Linked DNA regions of Drosophila melanogaster. The protein of the gene in region 2 interacts with the protein of the main gene of each other region in a pairwise test. Each region holds a gene or a part of one and is shown on either strand. Other genes may lie near its edges.

What was found.
Region 1: the proteins of CG6685 (region 2) and Usf interact in a two-hybrid assay, tested with the Drosophila melanogaster proteins (one large-scale study listed by BioGRID).
Region 3: the proteins of CG6685 (region 2) and Gale interact in a two-hybrid assay, tested with the Drosophila melanogaster proteins (one large-scale study listed by BioGRID).
Region 4: the proteins of CG6685 (region 2) and Sap47 interact in a two-hybrid assay, tested with the Drosophila melanogaster proteins (one large-scale study listed by BioGRID).

What each region holds. Positions count from the first base shown.
Region 1 is NC_004354.4:4,543,157-4,551,794, reverse strand, and holds Usf (Usf), read left to right. Parts: upstream 1-3,000; 5' UTR 3,001-3,366; coding exon 3,367-4,409; intron 4,410-4,970; coding exon 4,971-5,241; 3' UTR 5,242-7,178; downstream 7,179-8,638. Other genes in the region: CG11436 (uncharacterized protein), read left to right, coding at 1-1,385; CG15912 (uncharacterized protein), read right to left, coding at 1,981-2,721; CG3568 (uncharacterized protein), read right to left, coding at 7,391-7,561, 7,619-8,619.
Region 2 is NT_037436.4:9,965,950-9,972,396, reverse strand, and holds CG6685 (uncharacterized protein), read left to right. Parts: upstream 1-4,079; 5' UTR 4,080-4,102; coding exon 4,103-4,292; intron 4,293-4,355; coding exon 4,356-4,563; intron 4,564-4,616; coding exon 4,617-4,710; intron 4,711-4,775; coding exon 4,776-4,925; 3' UTR 4,926-5,794; downstream 5,795-6,447. Other genes in the region: CG6674 (uncharacterized protein), read left to right, coding at 425-733, 795-1,187; Dronc (death regulator Nedd2-like caspase), read right to left, coding at 1,648-2,553, 3,063-3,509.
Region 3 is NT_037436.4:645,292-652,751, forward strand, and holds Gale (UDP-galactose 4'-epimerase), read left to right. Parts: upstream 1-3,263; 5' UTR 3,264-3,760; intron 3,761-3,887; 5' UTR 3,888-3,888; coding exon 3,889-4,128; intron 4,129-4,941; coding exon 4,942-5,232; intron 5,233-5,292; coding exon 5,293-5,814; 3' UTR 5,815-6,020; downstream 6,021-7,460. Other genes in the region: CG3402 (uncharacterized protein), read right to left, coding at 6,797-6,985, 7,153-7,281, 7,420-7,460. UniProt on the Drosophila melanogaster protein: Catalyzes two distinct but analogous reactions: the reversible epimerization of UDP-glucose to UDP-galactose and the reversible epimerization of UDP-N-acetylglucosamine to UDP-N-acetylgalactosamine.
Region 4 is NT_033777.3:15,932,589-15,939,950, forward strand, and holds the start of Sap47 (Synapse-associated protein 47kD), read left to right. Parts: upstream 1-2,530; 5' UTR 2,531-2,996; exon of another isoform or gene 2,997-3,242; 5' UTR 3,243-3,537; coding exon 3,538-3,752; intron 3,753-7,362. Other genes in the region: CG5478 (uncharacterized protein), read right to left, coding at 307-1,098; blp (black pearl), read left to right, coding at 1,564-1,726, 1,787-2,049.

The DNA.
Region 1 (8,638 bases), on a different chromosome or scaffold from region 2:
CGCTGGCGTTCGCCGTGCTGCTTGGCCTTTTTCACCTGATCCAGGCCTGCAATCATTGGGTTCTTCGCGAGGAGCAGATCGTGCCCAAACTGGACTCTCCATTCCACATGCGTGAACCCCACAATCTGGCGGCATTTCTCAAGCAGATCAGGTACAGTGAGTATGTGGAGCGCTCCTATCTGGATCTGCTGCGCAAGCGGGAACAGATTGTGGAGCACCTACGATTTTCGATGCGTTTCGGTGAGGATCTGGCCGAGCAGGCCAAGTGCGCCATGGACTACTACATGCTGGAGAAGCGAATGTCTTACCTGAAAATTACGCCAGAGCAGTTGAAAAGGATTAATCTTCCGGACCAGAGGCAATTGCACATACAGAAGAGCGCATCCTCGATGGGAATGGAGCCGATATGCAGCGATTACCATCGATTAAGCGTGGGTCCAGCCACCTATGATCATCTGGAGAGTTTTCGGCCCGAGGTCCTGGCCGCTGCCTTTCTGGAGCGCGAGCATGACACCAATGTGGGCATGGCCACCGTGGAATTGACCCGGCGATTTGCGGTGGACGGATTGCAGCATCATCCGGCCTCCTGGAAGTTCCACACCCTAAGCTCGTACTATTGGCGCATGCGAGGAAATGCCCGGGAAGCCCTGCCCTGTGCCAGATTGGCTGCCTTGCTGGCTCCGCCGATCTTTAAGGATATACCCCTGCTGAGTCTGGGTACCATACTCTTTCGAATGGGTCGACTGGCCGATGCCGATCTGATATTGACCGCTGCGGTGGAACATGCTCCTAATGTGGCCGAGAATCATGTGGTCCTGGCCTCTGCACTGGCCATGAAACACGACTTTAATCGATCACTGCAGCACTTCGACGAAGCCGAGCGACTGGATCCCAGCACATTGCCGAGAACACAGCAGGTGCGAAACTTTATAAGTTGCCTAGAGAACCTAACGAAGAAAACCTCCAAGATGTATAGCTATGTGAAGTACATGCAGAACGAGGTGAAGGAGTTCAAGAAGCTGAAGCATCACATCTCTCAGAATCACGAGAGATTGATCCAACAGCAGCTGCCATTGGGAGCGAGACGTCTGCTTGGCCTGGACGCCAAAACCAACAACGATGATCTCCATCGAAGGGGTCAATACTGCAGCACGAGGACGCCGAATGGTTCAGATGAACCGGTGTTGTTTTGTGACTTCTATTCGGACATGCAAATGCGATTGGAGAGCAAGGATGTGGACATTGATGTGCTGGAACGGGATCTAAAGGCCAATACGGATGCGGTCATTCGCCAGGTGTCCACCGAAATCCGGAAACAGTTCAATTTGGAGCAGCTTAAGGCGGCCAAGGCCCAAATGCCTGCGAAGGCGACAAAGGCTACATAGTAATGATTGCCATTACAAACAGATGGACTGGCACATTCCCTTCACAAAGCAACCAAATATTTTTGGTCACAAAATAGCTTGTACGATTAATCTGTTCTTAATTAGTATTTAGGTATGTGTGCAAGAGACGTGTGCGAGTGTGTGTGTGTGTGTGTATAGGATAAGTTTTCAGGTATAGTTTTATCAGGCTTTATACACGGAAATGTTCGAAAGGAGGAGGTTCTTTCGATGCATAATACAGCATCGTTATGTCACTTTAATTAATAATATCTTTTAATGAATATTTAAACAACGACTTTTTCACATTCGATAAGAAATAAGCTTTGAATTGTATTCAACTAAGAACTCTTTTGTTTATTTCTGTTTTCAGACAGCTTATTTTTATATTTGTTATATTATGTTTTATATTTGTCCAAAACCTCCTACCTCGAATTTCCCAAAAAAATATCATTAAGATCGCGTATTTATATTTACCACTAGTTTTACATTCAGTTATGTTATCTTAATGCAAAAAAAAAAGGAAATCTACAAAAATAACAACAGCCATTATCCAATCGAAGAACTGCAGGTTCCCGAGAGGAGTTTCTTTGGTGGATTACCATCGGATTGGTTGGGTTTTTAAGGCCTCCAACAGACTGGAAAGACTGGCAAAAGAATGGGGATTGTCAGCGTTGCTCACAAGCAAACCGCTCCAGCCGCAATTCCGGGCACCTTCATAGTCCATATCCAACTTGTTGCCAATGTGAAGGGCCTGCTCCGCTGGAATTTGCAATCTCTGCAGCGGAATTTCGAAGATACCGCGTTCGGGCTTCATAACACCGGCTTCGTAGGAAGTCAGAATGAAATCGAATTTGCCGGCAAAGCCCATGGCGTCCAGGACTTGTGGCAGTGACGAATCGAAATTGGAGATGATGCCCACACATTTGCCGGCATTTCGGACGTTCTGCACCAACTCCTGGGCACCATTCACGTGACTCCAACAGGCGCTGGTCCGAAAAACGGAAATTAGCCGCTGGCCGATCTTCTCCAGCTTCTCGGGCGCCAGACCGTGGTCCACGCAGCTAAAGGTTCGAGCCACCAGCTGAAGCCACCAACGCTGCCAATCCAATCCCGGCGAGTAACGGCCAAAGTTTGGATGTTCGCTGCTCATCGCCTTGAATTGCTGGCGAAAGCATTGTTCCAATCGGCGGCGATCCACTCCGGTGACCCCGAACTCCTCTGCCGTCTGATGGTACTGGCGAAGGGGATCCTCCAGGCGAAGCAGCGTGTCCGTTACATCGAAGGTCACCAGGCGAAAGCGTTTCAAATTCGCAACAAATTGCGAAGTCAACGACATTTTGGCCAACAGTGTGGTATTGTTTGTCCACTAGATATTACGTATATGCATTTGGTATATTTTAATTTTCGAAAAACCTCCAAAAACACATTTGCTTAGTTGAGAATCGTTTATTGAATTAAATGAAGATGCTTTTCTTCATTTTAAAGTTACAGATTTTCTACTTGTATGAAGAGTTTATTTTTTTTTTTGAATACAAACAATTATTTGGAAATGCCGCAAAAATACATTGCCTAAATTCTGGTATTTTTCGCAACAACTGTACTGTGTGTATTTGTCGGCATATATTTGCTGCCCGCCGGCGGGCACACTAAGCCAAACGAAAATAATTTTGTTACAAAAAAAATCAACAAATCGTATTGTTAAATGGCCGTGCGAACACGAACGACCATAAATCCGCCGCAGCGCTCGATTTCAAATCAAATCCTCGAGGCAGTCGGTAGTTAATAATACCGCAGAGCGGCCAGATCGGGGGATATCTACCATCCATATCCGTGTATCCTCCAACTAGAGATCGGAGCAAATAGTGGAGGAGATCCCGAATAGATCCGGAGTTACGTGATTCCCGGCGACACGGATACGATTCTGGCTGGGATTGGGCTATTGGAATTGGTGTACTGCTAACGGCGGATCATCGATGCAACAATGAATGTTCACAAGCGGCCACGTCTGAATATGGAATTCGGCTCCTCCACCAGCAATACCAACACTTCCACATCCCCGTCCTCCGTAAATATCAGCAATGCGAATCCAACAGCTGGACCTGGCCTCATGACCATTACCAATCACCACACCGCTGATTTGTCAGAGGCCCTGGTCCACAGTTCCTTTGCCAATGGTCAGCAAAGTCTGATTCTCACCAGCGACACGGGAAATCCGCTGATGAATAGCCAAGGTGCTCAGATATTTCTCACCATTTGCGGAGACGAGAACTCGGACGATTCGCAGGAGTACTATACGATTAAACAGGAACCGGGATGTGATCTAGATATCCATTCGCTGCTGCCTAGCAATTTGCAGCTGCCCAACAATCTGCAGCTGCCCACTGGCTGTGAGATATATTTGGTCAAGGAAACCGGCAGCTTAATGGGTGAGCCGCCGACGAAGGCGGCCATCAAGCTGGAACTAGATACGCTAAGCGAAAAGCCGCTCCTTCCATCTGTTACAACTTCCTCCAGCACACAGTCCGCGGTAATAACCGCCCAGACCGTGAATCCTCCCATTCCAGGTAACATCAACACCACCACCAGCACCACTAGCACCACCACCACCACCAGTGTCCTGTATGGCTCCCATGGCAATGGTCATGGCCATGGCCATGCTCACGCCCAAGCCCGATCCCAGCCAGAATCAGCTGGCCAAACACCATCCAGCAAACTGGAGGCGTACAAGAAACGCGATGATAAACGTCGTGCCACGCACAACGAGGTCGAACGCCGGCGCCGCGACAAGATCAACAGCTGGATCTTCAAGCTCAAGGAGATGCTGCCCAGTCTGAGCTCCAGCTCCAGTTTCAGCGAGGCCAGCACGAGTCCCAGCACCAGCGGAAGTACGAGTACCAACGGAAGTAGCCATTCCAAAGGCAATGCCAGCAGTTCCAGCGGACGAGCGCCGCCCAATGACTCCAAATCGCAGATCCTGATCAAGGCATGCGAGTACATCAAGAGCATGCAGGGCGAGATTGACACGTGAGTGGAGACGGGTTTGTAGGGGGGAAACCACTGAATCAGAAATCCACAAATATTGTCCGCTATAAGTTGCTGTACTACAGTTATATATACAGCTATATAACTTTTTTGACTTGTTAATGGTCTTAAAAAATGAGTTTGCTTATAGATCTTAATCAACTCCATTCGCTCAATTGAGCTTACATCATGTATCGATCGCATACGGTTAGGAATAAAGTTACCCAAAGGGCGGACACTTGATCTTTCCCACTTTTTCCGTAGAAATGCGTACTTAAAGTGCTGATATAGGGCTGGTGTTATCTTTTTGCAAAACAAAATCCCCATTTTGGAGCGGTTCTTTTTCGCCACTATCTCGTGCAATATGAGCTGGACTCTCGAATGTCCCTGTGTCACTCAAGTCTTGAACACAACACTCTCTCACACTGATCGAATGCGGTTTCCACCCAAACAAAACCCAACAAAATCATACAAAGCCAATCAAACACCTGATCCACCGATTCACCGATCACCAAACATAAACAAACCAATTACTCAACTTTGTCTATCCCCACCAATAAACAGGCTGCGCGACTGTCTAAGGGAGACGGATAGCCTAAGGGCCAGCAACCAGGCGCTGCGCGAGGAACTTGATCGCCTGAAGCGTCAGCAGCAGCTCCAGGAACGCTTCCACACGGCCGGCGGAAGATCGACGTTTAATGTTACCCTAAATTCGCTGAACAGTTCCGCGACCAGTGATCTATTCGAGGGAATCGATACGACACCCAATCTGGCCGCCGTCTCGTCGCTGGGATTCGGCAAGCGTGGCCTGCTGATCAGCGATTTTGATGAGTAAACAAAATCTGCCTGCGAAATAGGAGTGGATAGACAAAAAAAAAAAAAAAAAAAATAGAAATGAAAAACATATGGGTGGACCGATTGGGTTGCTGGTTACGGGAATAAACAAATATGGAGGCGGCGGATGGACAAGCCCTGGCGCCTTCAACAAACATATACGCCCATCCACCAAAGAATGACGTGCAACGTACACGCAACGCAACACACGCAGTACAATAAACGGACATGACGAGTGATTCCTTGTTATCGCCGCTCTGTTATATGTTATATAAGAAAAGCAGCATATATTACATATGTGTATCGATATGTGTATATGGTTATGTATATGGCTATGTATATGCATGTACATATATGCAGTCGAACTTGGGTGACTCAAGCCAAGTTGTTGGCCTAACCGCTTTGACAAAAAGCTGTTCTCAATTGAGTTTAATTAACGAGCCACGGCACAACACAGCTGCTTTTGTATGTTATATGTATCTGTTATTGGTATTATTCCTAACCAACCCCCCCCTCCAAAAAGTGAGCGCCCAAAAAGAAAAAAAACAAATCATGAAAATAACGATCGAACGAATTTTTGTACCACCCCCATGCCGCGATCATTATCATATTTTGTTTAGAGTCTTGGAATATTAGATCACAAACAAATATTGTTGATAAGAAGCTTTAAAGCACGTTCTGTTCTTCCATGTTTTTTTTTTTCGTATTACATTATGTTTAAGATATACGTAGGTATAGTTGTTTTGATTTGCGCAGCGAATCTAGAACTATAACTTAGCCATGTTTCAAACAAACTCTTTGTGTTCATTCAAGAGAATTCACTATGTATTCACTTTCAACAAGAGATTGTTGTATTTAAATCGAAATATGTTTTTCAAAAATATCAATATTGAAATATTAGCAAAGTACAGCGCAAGATAAGTATAAGTATAAGTAATTTCTTGCTGAAAGTGAAAGTGGAAACTGAAGTGGTTAACAAAGTTTTCGATTTGTTGTTATACAGGAAATTAGTTGTAAGTCTGAAGTTTGAGTAACAAAAGTTCGATTGCACAGATGTGAAATGATTTATGTTCTCGGATCCTCAAGCGGTTTGCCATCATTATATACAAACGTACATACATACCTATGAATTACCCAGAAATACAAGCCTAGAAAAAATCTAAAAGCGTTAACGATACCTACCTATTGCATATATACCTTTAACTAAATCATATTTGGAGCATGTTTGTGCTTGATTTTTCGATTTTATTGTACTGTTTCTCGGCACTAATTACCTACAAAAAAAAAAAAAATGTAACGAAAATATACTATATCTAGTTATATCGTATATATATTATATATATATATAAATATATATGGTCTATATATATATATAGAGAGAGAGAGAGAGAAAGAGCGAGAGGCAAGTGTACATACGTAGTGCAGTCGGTAGAACAGTGGGAATTCGAGCGAGATGCGGCTATATAATGCCGCACTGCTCGCCGGGGGCGTGTGCACCGTTACAGATAAAATGCTATTGTTGATAAAGAATAATATTATATTATATTATATTTGAGCATAATGTTGTTGTGAATGTTATATCACTGTTTTCGATATACGACGCTGTTTCAGAAGTATAAGTATACAGAACAGAAGTGTTTTAAATACGATTCATTTGTAATAATGAAAATGCCAAAAAAAAAAGCAAAAAAAAAAAAAAAGAAATCAAACACACCAACCACACCAAAATACAAACACACTAAGATTCAGGATTTTAAGATATAAGATGGGGTACTGGGAATTGGATTATTTAACCCATGGCCGAAAACGAAATGGGATCTTGTGTTACTTGTTGCTATCTATATGCAGTACATTACAATAATATCACATTTCTGTCATTTGACAGCTAATAATTCTATTCAATTTCAATAAACGAACTCAGTAATGGTTAACACACACAATCAATTTCTCATTCAATGGAATTGTTGGCATGCGGGCATTGATTCTTTAGAAGAATATGGTGGTTTGTTCGCACAGCTGGCTTTCCATGATTCCATAAGTTCATATGTTCATATGTACATATGTACATATGTACATATGTATCAGCAAAAAAGCTGATCTCTTTATTGTAATATATTTTAAGGATTACATAGTGCTTAGATACATTGTGTTTACACAATCAGTCGCCTAGCGTAGTCGCCTACATGGAGTAGTCCGTGTTCCACTGATGCAATGTGCAGATTGGCTCCGTTCATATAGTGCACATTAATGTGGGGATTTTGGAGTTCAGAGATTAAAGTGGAACAGGCTGCTGCTGGATCCCCAGTGCTGATTAGCATATTCTGTAGGGAAATAAGCATTACAAATTGTAAACCTTAGTAGAGTCACTTCTTGCATACCGCCCAAAATTCGTTGCCAGGCAGGGCATTTCCATCCCAGGCGTATGTCACCACGGGCAACATGTCCTCCGTTAGTTTGTCTCCGGGATTTCGGACCGAATTGCGAATGCGAATGCCACCCTGGGGATGTTTGTCCACGGGAATGATGGCTCCGTCATGCAAGCTGCCCACACATGCCAAATGAAACCATGAGAAGTGTACCACTCCGATGTGGCTTAGTCGTTCTCCAAGTGCCCGCAATCGTCCCTCAAAAGATTCAAGGAAGGTGCGCTCCTGCTGTCTAGCTGCCTTCCAAACGCCCAGTCCGATGCCGACCACATGGATATAGGCGGGCTTACCAGCCTTAAATGCTCTGTCCTGTGCCTCCAAGAGCAGGGTGTCGAAACTGATGGCATATCGCTTGCGCATTACCTGGTGATCGAAGATGCCCTGAGAAACCTCTTCGAAACGCGTAGTATCATACGGAGTGTCGGCGTAAATGAAGTCCCTGGGCTCCTCGTAGAACTCGCGCCAGATTCTGCGCAAATCTGATGCAGGTGTGACCGTCTCGCTGGATATCTGTTCCAAATCGAAACCGTAGCCATTGGCCTCAGTATTTTGGGTTTTAGTAATCATGATATCCTGGTACTCCATCACATCGGGACGCTCGAAACGAGCTCCAATTAGTCCAATCACAACGCCCTCCCGTTCGATAGTGTCCTTATTCTGCAGCACCTCACCCCCATTGACCCTACTGCCATTGTTAATGAACTCCGAGTGGCAGGACACGTAGAGCAGGGCGGACAGCTTGATCTCGTCGTAGCTGAGCACCGAGGTCAAAGTGAGGGGTTCCTTTTCGGCGGGCGTACCCACTGCCTCGAAGCCCTCGTTACCAATATTTCCCTGCATTGTACGGTAATAGTCGTTAGCGCCAAAGAACCACACACATCTCTTCGCCAGCAGGCGCTGCACAAGGTCAACCACAGTCATGTCCTTGTAGATGGCCTTCTCCTGCTCGCTGCCTGTAAAACGATGACCAGA
Region 2 (6,447 bases):
TGGCTGTTTAATTTATTTATATTCGCGAATGAGCACACTTCTTCCACACTAAGTTTATACACCGGCACCAGTCTGACCAGAGTTTGCGTGGGCCGAAATTCCAAGATATCTTAGTTTGCAGAGAATACCAATCATACTGCTACTATATTGAAATAGAATGGGATAAATTCAAATCTGTTAATTTACGTTTAAAAAGTATTTTAACCCTATGATGTCAGTTAACTCACATAGTATAGACTAATCCATAGAAAAGGAAATGGTTTAATAGCTGCCTTAATAGTCTAAAAATACTGCACGTTACTAAAATACTAGATGAAAATACAAAACGGTAACTGTGAAAACAGCTGATTTGCAGCAAACAAAGTTACCTCTGCAAACACAACGCATTTAAGCAAATGCCATTTGTGCAGTTTAACTAAGTAAAATGCAGGAATTTTCAGCCAAACGAGACGCTCTTTTCGCATGTCTCGACGATGCGAGCAAAGAGTTGCGGGGAACTGCCTTGGATCAGAGCAAGGCCAAGGCGTTTTCCATCAATGCCCTCGATCGAGGAAACAAATCCGGAAACGAATCCGGACAGGTGATGAACTACCGCCAGGGTCGCAGCATTGTTACTGGCCTCGATGCGGAGGATGGAAGACTGCGACGAATGCGCGGCAAGGAGAGCATTTTCAAGAAGCCCGAACTCCCCATTGGACGCTGTTTGAAGCCAAGAAAAACGCCAGATTACCAGGTGACAGACCATCCCTCTGCAATTAGTTGTCCCCACCCTAAACGTTTGACCTACTCTCTAGGTAAACCCGCACAAATGGAAGAAGTACTCCCTGTCTGATGTGGACATTTCCGAACAGAGCAACTCCGCCGCCGCCTTGTCCTTCCTGCGACAAATGGATGCACAGCGCGAGGCTGAGGGCGTCGATAACGAATCTCCACCTACAGATGGCAAGATCGAGTTCAAGAGGACCAGCAAACTCAGCCGCAAGCTCAAGAGCCTCAAACAGCAGGAGGTGGATGATGTGGAGCTGGATAAGCCGCAGTTAAGAGGTTCCAAGCTGGTGATGCCTGAGTATGTAATTGGCCAAAAGCCGCATAAGCCAAAGAAATGCAAAACCAAATCGGAACAGAGCCGTGCAGCGGGAAAACTACAACTGTCCCACTTGGCGGAGGAGGATGAGCAGGATGATTAGGTTAAAATGTATGATCCTAAGATTATATTATATAATAATTAGTGTCCCAATGAAATTTTAGAAATGTAAATAGATTTTAATTATATACAAACTGCGGTTTGTTGTGAAATATCATCGTTTATTTTGTAAGTGTACACACTCAAAAATCAGACTGGAAAATTGCTTTACATTTTGCCTAAATGTTCGATTTCAAAAATCTGGCTGTGTATATACTGGAACTCTGTATTATAATATTTGTAGATTTCTGGCAGTTATCACATAAATTACATAATTTCGTACCTTTAAATGAGGTATGCAATACGTATTAGAAGAATACTTGAATGAGTATTTGTTACAATATAAACATTTTATAGCACGCGAGCACAGAACACATAATCTAAAAGACATACTAAATGCGACGATAAGAACATAAATGCGGTTAAAAATGCATCCGGAATGATAAAATGTCCAGTGGCGGCAACTATTCGTTGAAAAACCCGGGATTGAAGTAGAGTTTCTTATTAAAGCCAAGATTATCATAGGCACCTGTCTGCATGGAACCCTTCTTGGTGCGCTTATTACCCACGGCTTCGCTCGTCTTCTTTAGGATATCCTCAAGGTCTGTGTCGTGGGCATGATCGGCCATCACTTGGCAAAACTTCTGGATGTACCAGCTGCCCGTGTCGAGATCGCGGTGGGTAACATAGCCCGGCGTATTAGCATAGCAGACCAGAGTGTCGGCAAGACTTGGCACATTGGTGCTCGGGCTGGGTATGCCCTCCGTCTGGGTGTCAGGCCACTTCTCCTCTTGCGCCGTATACACTGGCTCCATGAGATTGCCTTGATTCTTTGGATGGCCCAAATCATATTCATCGCCGCGGCAAAAGGGAAACATAAGCACCTTCGGCTTGTTCACCAAATAAGGACATTTGGCCGTCTGGAAATGGTCCTTGATCTTCTGCATATCGACCACAGATCCATCGCAAAACTCCACCTTCTCTTTTCCCTCCACACTGTTGCCGTGTGTCATCAGTACCATTACGAAACACTCGGTATTCTGCACATACGACGAGGAGGTCACCATTGTCAGAAGTTTAAAGAACTGATCCTGATTCACGTTCCCATAGGGGAAAATCGTAAAATTCAGTTCTTGAAACAAGTGTATCAACGACTTGCTGTCCTTTTCGGCTCCGATCCGTCGACGGTTTTGATCCGGATAGTCCATTATGTTAACCATTAGCAAAACGCCTCGGTTGAAACGTGATTGCATCTTATATGTGCCCAATATGGCACTATCCCCACCATGTATCTTTTTCGATTTTTTTACCTCGGGACCGTCAACGACACCCACATAAGGGGTGAGTGCTCCCAGCGGCTCATTCCGGAGCTTTGGTAGGAGAGAGAAAGAAAGAACAAATTACAATAAAGATAAGATTTTCAATATATATATTATATTTTCATTGCACGGTTAATGTGGCAGACAAAGAAGTAATCAACATTCGTGCTATATAAACACAGCTGCCAGCAATATTGCGATAAGATTCTGGTTAAAAACAAATCCTACTAAAAGAATAATTGGGATAGGTAAGTAGAATGGATGTGATTCATGCTTCCAAAAAAAATGGAAAACAAGAATCTCATACACGAACTAACTTCTGAAAGAGAAGCAAATAATACTGTGCACATGTACCAAAGTAGTATTCATCATTGAGTCCATTTACAATTCTTAAAGATACCTTTTCTAATCTCATTCCAATAGGAATAACTCAATTAACAAACCTAAAAAAAAAAATGCAAATAAATTGTGCCATAAACCGGTTTTTTGTAGAAATCAGGGTCAATGACCTGAGCTGCAATTTCACCATCAAAGCTTTCGTATGATTTTATTTTCATTACCTTGCTAACGCAGGGTCCTTCGGAGGCTTCGGGTGAGGGTGTGTCCACAATATCGGCCGACTTCCGGCTGGTTCTCCGTTCGTTTAGCGAGATAAAGGGTGGCCTTGAATCGGACTCATCGACGGATTCCAATAGAACGGCCGCATCCAGACAATTGATATTGCGCAGTGCATTGATCAGCAGGTTATAGGCGGTGGGACCACGCTGGGTGATCTTCAATAGGAGCCTACGATGCTGCTCCACACGCACATCCTTCTCGTCCATGTTGAATGGCTTGCCATTGAGATCCTGCGTATTTCTTAGCATCTGAACGGTTAGGATGCCCTGTTGCACGCACTCCATGGCCAGACGCTCGTAGTTCGTCCATTCAACCAGTATATTCAGATTCTTGCGTATATGCTCGCGATGCCTCTTCGGCATTCCAATCTCGAGCTCCGGCGGCTGCATTCCGGATATGGCTTCCACGCGTTCCGGTGACTCCGCTTATTGGGCGCGCCAAGGATGGCTGCCGTGATCAGTCTCCAATTGGCAGTGGTATTGGCAGTGAATCACCCGTCTCCAAGGTTTTCCCGGGAATGATTTCGTTTATCGCTACTTGTCGATTCTTTGTCTCCGCTTTGTTGTTGTCGTCGTTGTTTTTGTTTTGCGACTTTCAAGAAAGGGGCACAAATCGGCGGCCCTGCTGGTGTCCTTATTTTTCCAAAAGTAAATTAACTAGTCTATATATTGCACTAGATGATCCTAGCAAGGATCGGGGATCTTCGAATAGGATTTCTTTCGAAACAAAAGGACCAACGAGCGTTTCGCGCCGCCAAACTCGCCACTAAACTAATAAATGAAACTTTGGGATTGGTGTGGCTGCTTGTGGGTGCGCCATTTTAACCAGAGAACGCGTCCGGGATAAATCCATGACATGAACCGTCTCCATGTTCCACTTATTCCACCATTCCTTCATTGCCGCATCAAATGATTCAATTTAATACTAAATACCAAATACCATATGGGGTCAGCCTAACAAACCGTAAACATAAACAAAAGAAATGGAGGAGGAGCAACAATTTACGCCGGAACCGAAAAACTCCGCGCAAAAAGGCGCAGAAAAGCCTGCAAGGATTCCGAGAGAGGTGAAAGTTAAGCTGCAAAGGCAACTAAACAGACTGGGCTACTCACAGCAAATCCTGCTCGAAGCAGCCAAGCAGCAAAATCAAAATAATTCGAATGGCATTCTCCGTGAGTTTTCTTAAAACATGCATAATGCAATAAAAGTACATTGTCCCCCAATCCCTTTTCTAGAGTATGTGGCCGACATGATTGGCAAGGGCGAGGAAATGGTGAAAAACTGCGACTCCGTTAGCTTAAACAACATTAACCAGTGGCTGGAGCTCATGAAAAGTTCGCAACTCGCTGAACTCTGCGAATTCGAAGCAGCCGTCGTTGTGAACTCCATAATCCAAAATGAGACAAAGCCATCGCCAACGGAACTGAACGGCATTGACTTGAAGTAGGAATGGTTTTGATAAACTACATTTGTATTTAGCATTGTGGTACTTTCAGTGAGGCCTACAAGTTTCTGGAAAACGCTTTGATGGGCCAGCCGCAAAAGAAGATGAGCGATGCGACCAAAGAATTTTTGTCCAAGGAAATTGAGGTGAGCAGAAGGCTGCATCAACTTTCCAAAATAGTTAAAAAAAAAGGAAATCCTAATGCCAACAGCTGCTCATAGAGAAGGCAAACACCGACGAATCCGACGATGTGGCACGCAGCATGGGGCAGCGTTTATTTGACCACCAGTTTTTGGATTACATGGAACAGCGGCAAAAGTGCAGTTTGGATCCACTATTCCTGGACGAGAAGCTAACGTAGAGGCTGTTATTGAGTAATTGAGGAATTTAGCACACAGAGCATTTATTCATTTCCACACATTTATTAAACATTTAAATTCAATTGTTTGTTACATACGTACATTGTCACACGCATTTGCACCGCTCCATTATCATCAATCAAATCATCGGATCCCACGTTTATACATTATTAGTATTACTATGCCAAATGCCCCAACCTTTGTACGTATTAATATTTGATAATTACACTCTTAATTAAGTACTTGACTATAAACAGTTTTAGCACATTTAAAATCTAGAATTCCTTTAGTTGTACACAATTACTTCGAGTAGTGTAAGAAAAAGTTGTGGGTCTTTGGCCTTTGGATTCTCTCAATTGCATAACATTTATTGTGCATGATTGTTTTCAATTGTTGGGGCTGCCAATTAGCATTGCATAGACTAGTGTAGAGATAGGTAGTTTAGTTTTAGGTTTTGCTACGATTAGCTTTGTTTTAAACTTTAAGAGGCATAAAAACAGTTGAGTGCTGCTTGACTCCCATAGCATCACAATAGAATCACAAGAGACAGAGTTGGCTTCATTTCAATTCAATTCATTAGAGGATCTAGGATGGTACACTTACGATAACATAACGTACATACGATCAGAATTACATACAAATTCGAATACAAATATAATACCCTTTTGTTTTAGGCGCAGTTACTAGCACTAAAACGATCTTCACACAATCAAATGCAATTCAATAATGTACATAATATAACTCTTAAATGTTCAGTCCAGTTTGAGCTTTTGGTTTTCCCCTTTTTCTTTGATTTAGATTTTGTTTTTAATTTTTTCATTTTTAAATTTTTTTTTTTGTTTCTTGTGTTTAGGTTTCTGTCTTGTCGCGTAAACATTAATTAAAATTAAGTAAATCTAATTATATATACGTACGATTAAACGCTAGTAAACCATATCGATATGCTTGTCTAAGGTGAAATAAATAAACAACAAATTCGGACCGAACAAAATGCAAAGCAATTTCAGGTGCATGGCAAGGATATGCTGGAGTTTCAGGATCAAATTAGCTGGCATTAACCAAACGCAGATCCAACGAATCGAACAAACACAACGAACGACAACAACGTAACTTAAAATTGCAATTGTTTGTTAGTTGATAGTTGATATAGAATTAGTTTTAGTGTCGCTTGAATTTTGATTGTCCCGTTCCCGTTCGTGTAATTCATACTTTTATTCATATCATTCGAGTATGTGTATATAAAGTAGAGTGGTTTTTAATGTGTCCTAGATAGAGTTCGTCCTGCTGCTGCTGCTGCGTTTTGTATACATATATAAATTCATATTTTTTTTCGGGTTTCACTTCTACTCCGCTAAACATAGCACAACAATAATGATAATAATCGCTTTAATTGCCGTTTACGTAATGAATACATCTATGACACTGGTGAGTCTTCACTATATGTATAAAGTTTCAAGAGTTTACCATTACCAATTACCACACTTTTACGCATATAGCTGCCCAACTATACAAATTGACTATAAA
Region 3 (7,460 bases), 9.3 Mb from region 2:
CGTTTGCAGATGTATCTCGTGTCCTTTGGCTTCTTCCCGATCCTGCAGCAACCACCACCGCAGCCCTGCGCACTCCTGGCTCATAGTTTTCCCATTTTCGCAACAATAAACATGCCCCGAGGGGGCAGGCAGCCAACAGACAACTAATTAAATTTTCTATGGTATGAATGCGCTTTTTTCGAATTAACCCCGTTCCAAATAGCGAACCCGAACCCGAACGGATCCGATCCGATCCTCGGGGAGAAGAAGTCCTATTAAGTTGCCATTACCTTCGTGATCCGTGAACCAGGTAGGAAGTAGGGCGATCTATTCATATTCATAAGCCCATTGCCACCGCCATCAATAGCTCGTAAAAGTGTGTGAAACCGGAGGGTGCCCAAAGATCCACGATCCCCGATGCCCGATCCCCGATCCCCGATTCCGTTCAGGGTGGTTGCCCCTGTTTTTTGACTATATCTTAACCCGCCAGAGCCAGGCAGCACACGTGTTCATCATTTGTTGCCTGTTGCTAGGCCGAGATACTCTCTAAATACCCACCCCACGGCCGTGGAAGCCCCTGCCCGTCCCGAACCCCCCCAAACCCCCCGCCAACCCGTAACCCCTCTAAGCCTTTGTGGTAGTTTTGCCAAAAAAAAAAAAGCAACGAAATGAGATCACTGACAACTGGAAACTTGCGTAAAACTCAGCCCAGTCGTGTCGTAGTGGTTGTTGTGCGCATTGTTGCTCTGTAGATAGTTGTTGCTGTTGTAGATGTTATTGTTGTAGTTGAAGTCGTTGTCTTAGTTGTTGTCGTTGTTGCTTCCCAGTGTCTCCTGTTGGTGGGAACTCTTTCCGTAACGCCGCACATGCGCGTGTACTCCACTTACTTAAACGACCGAGAATCGTACTCGTACTCAAATTCAAGCTCAGAATCGGGCTCTTCACTTGATTCACTCTTCATAGATTGTACTTTTGTATTGAAACATGGGTATTACAATTACAGTAGATGAATAGAGAGATATATTTCAACAATACAATATTGGTGGCATTGGTGGTTCTCATGTTATGTGTTCTAATATAGTTTAATTTGTAATGAGGTTACAATACAATATCCTTAAGGTCATAAGCTTAAGTAAAGGTGGGCAGAAAAGTTCAGAAGAGTGGTCCAATTTTTTCGAATTTTTTGAGTCAAAGTAACAAATTTAATAAATGTAATAAATTTATGTATGTAGTCTCGACTTCGGATCGCGCATAGAAAAGTGCGTTTTGAATTTAATTTTCCATATCTTCAATTTAGGAATTGAAAACTTTTAGACGGGCCATGCGGGTTCTGCCAGAAAACGTCACGAAATATGTATAAATTGCTTAATTTGTGATAAGCATTTATGGTGGCCCGGGCGATCCCAGTTTCCAAGTCGGTCTCCGTTGGGCCATGTGAAAAGTGCACCACTTTCACTATTTCCCTACTTCATTTTCCCATTGCCGATCCGAGATCAAATTAAAGTGCCAGAGTCGGTGCTTATCTGGGGTGGTCTCTTTTGAGGGAACGCAGAACATACATAGATGATTATCGGGCACAAACAATAATGCGGAAAATTGGTTTTATTAAGATGGATAACCGAAATTTACAATAAGTGTAAGCAAGGAAATTCTATTCGTTTGGCATTCTATTCGTGGAGTGGAAAGTGTTTGAAATAAAAGATCACATACTAATAAACATATAAGTACAGTAAGTAAACAAGAAGACGGACATAGCTAACGGGCCGGGCCAGACCCCCCGAAAACCTTAGCCCCAGCAATAACAGCAATCCAACTCTCGGACCGAACTGATAATTCCCCCATATGTGCAGGCGGGATTGGATTGGGAGCTCGCTTCTATACATATATATATATATATATTTATGTATGTAGACTAGACCGCAGCACATTATGTACAAATACGTAGCTTTAGGATCGACCACTTCCACTTGGAGACTTGTCCGTTCTGTCTTTCTCTTTCCAATTCTGTTTCAGTTCAGTTTCTGTGGCTGCGACTCTGACTGTGCAAATTATTGTCGCTCACATAAAAAAATATTGCAGGCCAGCGCCATTCAGAGGCGAGCAATGCCGGAAGTTCAACTAACTCATTTCCGGTTGTCAGTATGTACATATGTGTGCCGCCCGAGAATCTCAAAATATATGTAGATGTACGTATGTATGTAGTACATGCGGTGTGCGGTAAGCATGGTCTTGCGGTATATGTATGTACTGCGTCTTCCTTATCGAGTGAGCTTTCCCGCATTCGAGAATCGATTCGTTTCCAGATGATTATGTAGATTATTATGCCGAAGCAGTATTTTACGGTTTGTTCTAATTTTGGGACTCTTATGCCGCAATTTTTTTTAGCGATAAATTGAAATGGAATTCGGAAACCATAATCAGAAAAACGATTTATTGACTGAGATAGAACTATTCAAACAAATAACGATTATCGACACTCCAAAAACCATAAGATAAAGCCGGTCAAATGCCAATCTAGGTTAAAGCTCCGAAGCTTTCGACCCATTCATGCATTCCATTCATTCAGAACCGAAAGCAGGCGCATTTCATTGAGAGACTCGTCGCTGCGCAAATACATTCTCAATTAAGTTGTAAACATTGTGAGATCTTTTTCATTGCGTATTGAGCACATGCACTTCCGCTTATCATTAAAGATTTGAACCGAATTTGGGTCACCAAAAAGCTGTCCGAACTGCGGTTCTAGTTATTTATGACGATGTAGTTGTACGCATTGTACTGAAGTTTGTTGTTATCAAACGTTTGCTTTTCGAGTTTAAAATTAATTTTGAATCTGCTCCGTTTATCAGTCAAGTAAAATGTCAACTTATCTACATGTAAATTTTACAGAAGCACATGGCAGTGATGCCAGATCATATAAGATTATTATCTTGGGGATAGAATGCGTTACAAAATTACATTGCATTATGAATTTGGCGTTATTCTCTTATCATATGTTTAATTAATTACGATTTGTGATTTTATACGCTTTATAATGAAAACTATTTTTTTACCACCCCTATTCGCGTCTCCAGAATGTTTTCACATTTAAACACCGATATGGGCGCACTTCTTGTTTTAAGTTGTTCATATCGATAGACAGCCAAGAAATTTATCGAGACGAATCCCACTGTGCCAGGTAGCTGAAAAATCGGCGAATATGGCAGCGTCGAACGAGCCATGTCGCGTGGCAACGCTACCACTTTGTTTACTTTTATTCGGAGAGCGAAGTGAAGAGCACCTGGAAATTGCATTAATGGGCATGGAATCGGGAGCCAAAGGTCAGCGGCGATAAGGATGCACTTCGAGGTGACCCCGGCCGTCCGTCGACCAAGTCAGCCTGCTGCTAGCACTTGAATTAAAGTGACAGGAGAGCTCCGAGCCCACCAAACCACCGAAACTGATAAGAAGTGCGCGTTCGGAGAACGGAGAACAAGTTAAATAGGCTCCGTGGAGAGCCACCAGTTCAGTTGGCCAGCGACCGCAGATCAAAACAGACGTACGACAACACAGATGAATGAGGAAGAGTGCAAGAAACGGGTTAGCACACGATAGCACTCAACGGTCAGCGATCTTTGGCATCTTCATCTACACCATCATCTGCAATCTCGTCGGAGATCAGAGGCGTTGTTTTTAGGCATCGGAATCCGAGGCGGAATCGTTTCAAGGGCACGTCTCTTGCGTCTAGCTAAACTCAATCTGATTCACTGAGCGGGGATTCTCTACCATAATCACCTGTAAACAGGTGAGTTACCCGTTTTTCGCCAAGCAGACGGCTATTTCGCACGCCTGCCGAACGATTTTGGTGACGTCAATAAGAACTGGGCACTCGTGTGGCCTAATTTCGTGTGTTTTCCCCTTTCGCCACTTAGGATGGCCCCACCCACGGTCCTGGTCACCGGAGGAGCCGGCTACATTGGCTCCCACACGGTTCTGGAGATGCTCAATGCGGGCTACAACGTCATCTGCGTGGACAACCTGTGCAACGCCTACAGCAGCGGGGCCAAACTGCCGGAGGCCCTCAGCCGGGTGCAGGAAATCACCGGCAAGAAGGTCAACTTCTATAGAGTGGACATCACGGACAGGGAGCAGGTGCGCTCCGTCTTCCAGGAGGTGAGCACACGTAGCATTACATAGCTGGCACGTCAGCAGTTCGGAGGTTCTGGGGCAAATGTGCCAACTGGATACCATTCAATCAAGCTTATCTGGCATGCGCGCTATCAGCTTTTTTCTCGTTCGCGCTTGTTTTGTTGTTTGCTCAAGTGGCGGGGCACTTCCGACGAACCGCCGTGCTGATCGACCCTGAATGAAAGACCCACTTGGCGAGGTCGCATTCGAGTTGGTGCGCTGGCATCCACATCCACAACAGCTCCCGGGCACGTACACTACAATCTGGGTGGTCGGGAGCCCAGATTGCAGTGTTTACATCCATTGATAACCAAGAGAATTCGCTAATTCGAGCAGGTTATCACGCATTCTTGAGATGTTCGATCAAAGGGGTTTTTTTTGTTAACCACCGTCGTTTATAAAAAACAAAGCGTTTATTTACATGTAATGAACATTATAAAAATGCACGTTGTTGCCCAAATAGCCATGAAATATCTTAAGCTGATACTTTTTCATATTTTTATTCAACCATAAATGCACACAGCTTTGTGCTTACGCGCACTGATTACTGAATAGATTGAGCAGTATTTGTTGTGGTGGAATTTTTTACCTAATCAGCACTATCAACAGCTATTTAAAGAACACATAATTGTTTGTCAATAAATCACCTTGAAATCAATGTGATACTTTCATTTAATTGCTATTAAATTCTGCACTTTACGTTTATAAGAGGCAATATCCTTGTGCTTACTGAAGAGCTGGTTATTACAGATTTGGATTTCCCAAACTAATAGGTACATATATTTACATCCCTTTCAGCACAAAATCGACATGGTGGCCCACTTTGCCGCCCTGAAGGCCGTGGGTGAGTCCTGCCGCATACCTTTGCAGTACTACCACAACAACATGACCGGCACCAATGTCCTGCTGGAGGCGATGGCCGACAACAATGTCTTCAAGTTCGTGTACAGCTCCAGCGCCACCGTATACGGTGAGCCAAAGTTCCTGCCCGTGACCGAGGAGCATCCCACGGGCAACTGTACATCGCCCTACGGCAAGACTAAATATTTCACCGAGGAGATTCTCAAGGATCTGTGCAAGTCTGACAAGGTAGGAGGATGTCATTTCTTGATGTCCATAAGTTCTGTACTAAAGAATTCGCTCTTTCAGCGTTGGGCAGTGGTTTCGCTGCGGTACTTCAACCCGGTGGGTGCCCACATCAGTGGTCGGATTGGCGAGGATCCGAACGGCGAGCCCAACAACCTGATGCCCTACATCGCACAGGTGGCCGTGGGTCGACGTCCCAGCCTGAGTGTCTACGGCAGCGACTTTCCCACGCACGACGGCACCGGCGTGCGCGATTACATCCACATCGTGGACCTGGCCGAGGGACACGTAAAGGCGTTGGACAAGCTGCGCAACATCGCGGAGACGGGCTTTTTCGCCTACAATTTGGGCACCGGCGTGGGCTACTCGGTGCTGGACATGGTGAAGGCGTTTGAGAAGGCCTCCGGCAAGAAGGTCAACTACACTCTGGTGGACCGACGGTCCGGAGATGTGGCCACTTGCTATGCGGACGCCACGTTGGCGGATAAGAAGCTGGGCTGGAAGGCCGAGCGTGGCATCGACAAGATGTGCGAGGACACGTGGCGCTGGCAGAGCCAGAACCCAAACGGGTATGCCAACAAGTAGAGCTGTATATCGCCACGTTCCTGCCGCTCCGCAAGTTCCTGAGTTACTACGCCTGATAATGGCTCAGGTAGCAATTTCTATTTGCCTCTAGTTGTGTATATTTCTTTCCAAATTTCGTGTAGTATTCGCTCACTTCGATGTGTGCAAGTGTGCGTATGTAATCCAAAGTACTTTGTAATTAAAAAGGCTTTTCGCTGTTGTCATGTAATTTTGTGACCGTCATTTACGCGTTTGGTGACCGCTGGCATCATTGACGCGTGCCAATTGGCGCAATCACGTAATTAAGGTCACCGACAAGGTGGCACTGGGAGATTACACTTGGCATTAGGTAAAATAAACACACAACTGCATCAACCATTTGTCAGATCTTAATCAAAAATGGCATAATCACATTAAGCTGACCAAAGTTACAAGAAGACGTCTAACTCGCACATTTATTTAGCAAACATTTATTCAAATGCAATATAACATTAAAAACTCAATTTTAAACTTAAGTGATGCGCCTTCTTCGCACATATCTGCACAGTTAAAGTCATTTATCACAAGTATGTACTATGAATGTATGTTTCTTTCAACAACTCTGCGTTCGGCTGCTGCTTCTGTTTGGTTTTGGAATGGTCTGCACGTATAAAAGTACAAAATTGTTTATATTCGAGCCTGTTGTTTCTGGGAGTGTTTGTTTGTATCGGTATTTGGCAATCTGTTTTACACTTAGGAGCTTGGCGATTCGTTCAACAAGTGATGGAGAGGCAAAGAAATCGAATTCAACAAGAAGCATTACTAGGTGCTACATTTACGTCTGGCTACATGTGTGTGCGATATGCATACGTAATGAATTAATATGTATAATATGGTAGTTCTAAGTATTCGCATAGGTTGCAGGAGGCAAAGAGATCCGTAGCCCAGAGGGGCGGTGGAGGGGATAGTTTAAATGCCGCTTAAATACTGCTGTAGTCTGTGGAGACCCTGCTCCGAGCACCACTTATGTGGAGGTCACGCCCTTGCGGGCCACCAGCATGTTGAGTATCGGGTTTTTCCGGATGTAGCTCACGGCCTTTTTGTGGGTGACCATGGTGAAGTCGTAGCCGTTGCACTGCAGGATCTTGTCGTGGATCCGCAGACCTGCTCGGGCGGCGGGACTGCCCTCGTGCACCTCGGTCACATAGATGCCCTATTTTCAAAGGGGAAAACGTAACATTGTAACATTGAAACTGCTCTTAAGATACCGAACTAAAACTAAATTCCCCGACTTTCAAGGAGAGCTATAATTATTAGCTTTAAGATTGAAGCTCTCTTTTATGCCCGGAATTAGGTTCTAGTGTTTCCCAAGTTTCTCACATAATCCGTGTATCCCTGAGGGCTTTTCTTGTAGTCCTGGTCGATTCCGCCGCCGATCTTGAAGCCGCACTTGAGGATCTCGCGCCCCTCCTGGTCGTAGTCCTTCTCCTTGTGCAGCGTGATGGGAATCTGGGAATTGTGAGTCACATTTCATCAATCACTCGAATTTGAAAGTGGCTTGTCTTTTTTGCTCCAGCGACCCAATTTCACCTATACACACACAGGCGACTGTGCGTGTGAGCCAGGTTTAGTTCGTTCGCAACTTACGCTCAAGCACTCCATCGCCGTGCCGGCCTGGTGCTGGAATG
Region 4 (7,362 bases), on a different chromosome or scaffold from region 2:
AAACTCTTGAAAAACAAAATAGTTGATGAAGTGGCAGGCAAATTTTAGCCATACACGGACTTTTGGGTCCTCAAGTCCCCAAGTCTTAGTTCAATGATTAACCGATATAATCTATTGGTTTGGATATAATTTAAATTGTTCTCTGTAATCAGCCACCACTTTGCCCGAGCTAAATGAGATTATTGTAAATTGTATATATCAAACTGACGCAGGACAGAACTAGCGTAGCATAGAGCATGTTCAGTAGACTATGTCTAAGTAGACTAATTCTTGGAGTAATAAATTATTTTCCCCACCAGAAACGGTTCAGTGCTTGGATTTTGATTTTTTCGCCTTTCTCCCCAGAGCGTCGAAAATGTTTGGTTTCAATTGCGGCACATGGTCAAGGATGTACGGAGGACGTACGTCCATAATTTCCCGCGTGTAGTGGTTGCCGTGCTTGGTCTTGCGCAGCCGATCCAATTCGATGGTAGCCTTTATTGACGGCCTGGAGCCCTCCGCTGGAGTGATCTTTATCTTGGTGCAGTGCCCCCGCTCCAAATAGTTAATAGTGGCGATCAGGGAATGTATATCAGCGATGACGGACGAGGTCTGCTCGTGGATTTTTAGCAGAGCCTTCAGATTGGCATATATCCTGGCCAGCCGTTTGTCCACGGGGGATTGATTATTAGGATCACAGTTCTTTTTCTGATGCGGAACTGAGTACTTGATGAACTGGCGTTCGTTGCCCTTCGGTGGTTCAGGAGTCTCCTTGCACGGCTTGGGCACCAACCGCTCCGACACCTCCATCAGTCGCACCTGCTCATCCAAACTGCTCAAGGGCAGCTTTCGCATTATGCGGCGCAGCTGCTTGCGCTTTTTGGGCGTGAGCAGGTGGTGGTGCTTCTGAAAGCGCTCCACTCCGCGGTGCAAGTTCTCCATCATCTTTACCCAAACGTCCATGCTCCTGCTCTCCGCCTCGATTTCATTCTGGAGTCGTACGCGCTTTGAGCGAAAATGCCGTATTTGTCGTTGTAGCGACTTCGTCTGATTCTGATCATTCAAATGCTCGCGGACCAGACGGTCGTAGTCCTTTTTCCAGTTCGGTTCCTGAATCATTGGCTTAACTAGGGAATTTCGAATTTTTAAAAACGATAACTGACAAATGCTATCGATGACAAAGTAGTCGTGGTAAAAATATTTAAATAATTGGTTTTAAAAATATTTCGATTCTCGATGATATAGCTATTATATATATCGATAGCTAATTATGAAAGCCGTGTACCATCTCCAATCAGCTGTTTCACCTGCTTTTCGCCGCCTGCTCGTTAGTAAATATCTGGAGTAAAAGCTAAAATTTACCTGGTAGCTCAATACAATTATAAATCACATTCGAAATTAAGTGTTAAAAGTTACGTATGCATTTTTTTAGAAGGACGCCTTTTAAATAGTACAATTGGAACACGGAGGGTCACTACGGTGTTGCGTAATTAAAGCGACACGTTTTCTGAGACCCAAAATTAAGCTGTACACATAGAATGCCGGTGTTTTGACGTACGAATCCAAGGAATACAAGAAACCGTCATGGCCAAGTATATCGCCCAGATCATCGTGTTGGGCGCCCAGGCAGTGGGAAGAGCCTTTACCAAGGCGCTGCGCCAGGAGATCGCCGCATCTCAGGAAGCAGCACGACGGGCGGGTGGTGGCAAGCAGGGCGACAAGAGCGCCGAGTCCAACCTGCGCACAGGTGAGTCTTGGACACAGTCATGCTATCTATTTCACTATTTACACCTACTTATCAATGCAGGCATGACGCTGGAGGAAGCCAAGCAGATCCTGAATATAGATGACCCCAAAAACGTGGACGCTATCACCAAGAACTACGAGCATCTGTTTCAAGTCAACGAACGCTCCAAAGGCGGCTCCTTCTATATCCAGTCAAAGGTTTTCCGGGCGAAAGAGCGGCTGGACCATGAGATTAAGGCCCATGAGCAGCCGAGGTCGTCAAATACGGAAGCAGCGCAAGATACGGCGGAGGAGTCTCAGAGCAGATCGCGGCAGCGACGCTGAGTATCCTTGTTGTCCCAATCGAACTAATTAGCTGATAATTGATTTAAAAACTACGTGTTAAGTACAAAAAATGAAAGTCTGTTGCTGTAAATAGAGATTTACGAACATGAAGACAAGTGTAAACACTTTCTGAGAAGAGCTCGACTTTCCAGGAACACAAATGTAATGGAATTCTTGTAAACTAACACGGATTAGCTCAGGCGGTTAGGTATAAATATTTTACTCTCAGGCCAGGTAACTAGAATCGGATCGATTTTAAGATCACGCTTCTTGGGGTTTGAAAATAAAAATATTTTAAGTATCAACAAAGTTCCATGTCTTGATCTAGCTATAGCTAAAATTATGCTGATGTAAATAAACTAATGCTGCAATGGGCTTCCAAACTTTCGCAATAGGAACTTGGAAATTTTAAAATCAGCTGTTGCAGAAGCCAGAGATGCGCGAACATATCGGTAGAGCTATCGACCGACAGCAGTCAGCTGTTCGATGGGCAGCACTGGCCGAGAACAAACCGAAAATAATCATTACTGGTGCGCAGTTGTTGTTTCCATAGACGTGTCAATTGTTTGTCTAATTGCGCCAGCAGCAGCAAAACGACGCCAAAGCACACATGCGCATTCCAGCGCACAAATATCCCACCCACGAAAATCGCAATACCATCGCCCCAGCAACGCGGAGGAGGGGGTGGACTCCACTTTTCCAGGGAGAAAGCGAACGTACGCATACGAGAATCCGAATCTGAGAATCCCCAATCCCCGAGTCCAAGAGAGCGAAGACGACACTCCAGCTCGGTATTTGAGACATCGACATTCCGCTGCTCCGTCAGTTTTCAGAGGACCTTCGAAGTGGGCAGCCGAAAATCCAAAAGTCTCCTGGCAGCGAACGGAAAACCAAAGAGAAAAAAAATAAGAAAAGCAAAATCCAGTTGGCAGAGAAAAGCTCAAGTGGTAATTGGCTGCGACTCAAATTACTTTAGTTGTGCAAATAGCGAATAGCTATAAACCCAAAAAGAAAAGAAACTCGAGCGTGGCGTGTGTCCATGTGGAAAATCGATCGAATCGCAGAGTATTTATCGTGTAATTGTGCCCAATAGCCACGCAATTCCCAGTCCGTTTTATTGATTTTCCCCACCGCCTCGCCAAGTAGCAATAAAAACCATTCTTTTACCTTCCATCTCGGCCATCTGGACAAAGCAATTGCAGCGTGAAAAATTCAAATTTCAAGTTAAATGCGAGAATTTACATAACGCCGAGCGTTGAAAGTGAAACTTCTGTGGTGCGAACGAAACACTGAAAGAAAGGAAAACCCATTACAGGACATTCTATCTGCCTCTGCCCAGTGTAGTAAAAGTTGGAGAGCCAGGAGCGGGAGAGCAGTGGAAAACCGTGAGAACCGCGAGAACAAGAGAGCCTAGAGAGCGTTGAACGTGCGCACGTCTTCCTGGTCAGGACACACCACCAATCCTTGAGAGAAACAGCAGGAGCCAACATGTTTTCGGGCCTAACAAATCAATTCACCTCGCTGGTGGGCGCCGTTAAAGGAGGCGCTGGCGACGAGGATGTGCCCGCGCCCACAGGAGATGCGCCCGCAGCCGCTCCAGCAGCATCCACATCCGTGGAGGCCACGGCCTCCTCCGCCGTGGACCCGGAGGCAGCTGCCGCAGCCGGTGGCGAAGGACTCGAGGGCGAGGAAGCTGGCAAAAGGTAAGTGTGAATCGAACAATGCGCGCTGGGTAATCCTTCGGCCCATCTTTCTAGTCTTCCGTGACTGTGACTCCGAAATCCAGACTTCAGTCGACCTGACATGGCGTGCCAATGTGACCTTGCTATTTGTACCTTTTAACATTTCGCTCCGTGGAGTTCCTACCCTCCAGCAATCGCTCCTTTACGGTACATTCATCATTGTTTTGACACACTCCGCTTATCCTGCATTTTACGTTGCATTCCGCACGCTCTCACGTGACTGAACATAATTGCTTAAACTGGAATCCAAATGCCCGATAATTTCACTCCCATATATATCCTATATGGCTCCGCTTCCTTGCGAAGCTAGTCGACTGACTTTCCTGAACATTTCTGGCTAGCAATTTCGATTTGAAAATGCCAGGCCAATTTGTGGTTTAAATGGATTTCGTTTGATTATTCTTGAAATGGCAAATCGCATTGTGAAGACTGTATTTCTTTTTAATTGTTGAAATATTTGAATCGTTATAGAATATAGCATAAATCAGTCTTCAAAAGAGTCTCTCAGCTTGGCATATATGTATTACTTAGTATGGTAGACTGTCAGTAGTGTAATTCTCCAAGCGAATTTATTTGCCCTAATTTTGTTGACCAAAGGAAATTCCTTGAACTGTCAGCAAACGGAAAAGAGCAACTCCATGCTTACTAACTTCCGACTGGTTTCTTTTCTTTTACTTCCCTCAAACTGAGTGGATAGGACTGCCCTATTTCTTTTCGACCTCGCCGTATCATTTGACCTCGTCCTTCGCGCTTCTTCTGGGTACTTCATCAATCTCTAGCAGGCATTCCACACCCTAGTTATGTTGAGTTTGCTTTATCCCACAAGAGTGTTACTGCCGTTTCAGCCTTCATTTCCTCGAAATAAATGAAAGTAAATTCCAATTATTCGGCTGATATTTTGGACAAGTTAAGACCGCTGTGATGGCCCGTTAATGCCACAAGTTGCTGGCTAATCCGGAAGATCAGCCAAAGTCAACTAACGTTGTTTTTCACTTAATTCAGCTCATTAATATTTAATTGTGCGAGTGTGCGCTGGATGCCAGGATGTCAATCCGGGGCACGTTTTTCCAACCAGCTGCCAACAGCTGGTGTCGTCGTGGTCGTCGTCGTCGTTGTTGTCTTTGAAACCCAAGTCCGTGATGTGTCACGCCTTTTCAACGGGCCGCCGTTCTCCTTCTGCCCCGCAAGTCCTTTCACTATCAATTGACATTGACGAGTTGGACCACCTTCGTGTTGTTCTTTGTATCTCGTCTTTATTTTACTCTTTTTGTTTTCTGTACGTTCCAATGAAAATAATTTGCACGTGGCTCCTGCATAACCACAAAATGTTGAGTCATTCGAGCTGGCGGCGCCCTCGTCCGCTTTCACCACTCGTACACTCTGGTTTTTTGACCATCTTGCTGTGTGCGAAATACTGTCACCAATGCCGATGGGTAGAGGTGGAGCATTCGGAAGGGGGCTGGCTCGGAGGCAGGATGTGTTCCTTTTGGTGGTTGCTTTCCAGTTTCCAGTTGACTTTTGCTCGTTTTGCGGATCGATACGAGAGAGCCGTGCGAAAGGACGCTCTATGCTTCTCTCTGCGAAATGTGCACATGTGATGAGGCCACAACGAGTAGAAACGACGATGGCGCCCGCTCTAGAGGATTTGCTACTCCACGACCCGACCCGCCCCCTTGTTGTCCTTTTGTCAGCCTATTTAATAATTGTGCATTCAGAAAACGTGTGTGCTGGCTTGTTGCCTGTCTTTACGCCTGTGCCTGTGCCCCTGCCACTGTCCTTTTCATTTCCTCGCTCGCCAATCAGCGTCAAATCTCTATAATTTTCAATGAATTAATTTATTCAATTTTCGCTGTCATGCATATTGAGTTGCTCACGAAGGCAATGGGGTTTGGTGATTTAGCCCAAAAATCGGTCAATATTCGATTAAGGGCTGCCCAAAAAAGTAGGCTATGCCGGAGAAATAAGCGAATGCATCTCCACCCATTAGTTAAGCCCCTCAAATCCCCACCTGTACATGCGTTTCCTCGCTCCTTTTCTGATTTTTTCTCTGCCTTCGCCAGGGCCAAAGTTGTTGGCGCTTTCAAGGACATTTACACTATTTGCACTTGCTCTCTGCGAATGTGTCTGTATGCGTGTGCCCTTGCCTTTGTTGCTAAAATTATGCCAAAATAAAATGAAAACAAATACGAAGGGAGGCGTATGAGTACGAGTAACTAACTATTTCATCTTGCGCCCAAATTGCTTGGCAAACAAGCTGGACAAAGTAAAAGTACGCAATGCATTCCTAACGCCGCTTGACACAATTTACTCACCAACAATAACAGCTAACTCTTGATTGCTAGCCAGTTGGGTCATTCGGGTCATCATTAGGCACACAAACAAAAGTTAAGAATTAAATATTTGCACATGTCGCATGGTCTTGGCCTGATTGAAATATGCCCTCTATATGCAAATAGGTATTACGAGTTCTATTCAAAATATATAATATAAATATTACATTTGAGCCAGGGTCCAACGAGCAGTGGAAATCAAAGTCCGGCCGAGATTTTCCTTTTTTTCCGCTCACCTGGAGACGGCAAACATAATAAAATCAAAGCAATGGCCTCAAAATAAATAAATAAATGCGAGACTGGCGAAATGGAAAACCCACAGAAATTTATCGAGCGACATTTGGCCTCCTGAACCGAACTGAACCGAACTGAATACACACATTTCCCAAGGATATAAAAATATAAATAAGAGAAACGAGACGGTCGGCGGGAATCCAATTGAAATGCTGCCAAGCCGAATGCAAAAAAAAACCCCACAGGCTACTTAAATTTAAAGGCGGTATTAAAATTTCATGTCAAGGCAAGAGACCGCCGGACATATCGCCATTTGCCAGGACATGGCGTGGGTGCTAACGACGCCCTGTGTCCGAGCGCTCGCCATTTGACATTTGCCAGCCAAATTAACGCCCTGGCCTGGCACCAAAAGCAGCCAAACAATCCCTGTGGTCAGCAGCTACTCCTCCTCCTTCTCCACTCGCTGCAATTTCAGTTCGTTTCGGCAGGACCTTAATTGCCGCCTGCGCCGTGGGTGGTGGGTCCTGTCCTGAAACTATTTGTTCTGTGTATTTTTTCAGCTGTCGCATTTAATTCAATTTATACGACGCTCGAATCTTTACTGTTGCGGCATTGTGTGCTTATTGTTTGCACCACGAATTAATATTTATCGCCCTGGGCATTTGTTTCGTGCTAAATCATTCGGCCCATATAAATAGTAATTTTTATGCAAATTAAGTGTTTGTCACACGAGTTTTTCACTGCCTAATTGCTGGCCAGGGAGTTTCCCACGCCCACTCAAAGAAAAGGGCCGATTTAGAATGCGTGTCGCACGGTAGTTTTTTCACATTTTGTTTGTTTTTTAATTCCCAGAAAGATTTATAATTCATTCGGTAACCCTTTTCTATTTTTAGTGATTTTTGATTTAAACACATGTTACTCGGAATCTAAATTCCATTTTTTGTGCCACCTATTTTATTTATGAAAATTCTATTTAATGGCTTGGTATTTCTGCCTAGTTGCTAAGT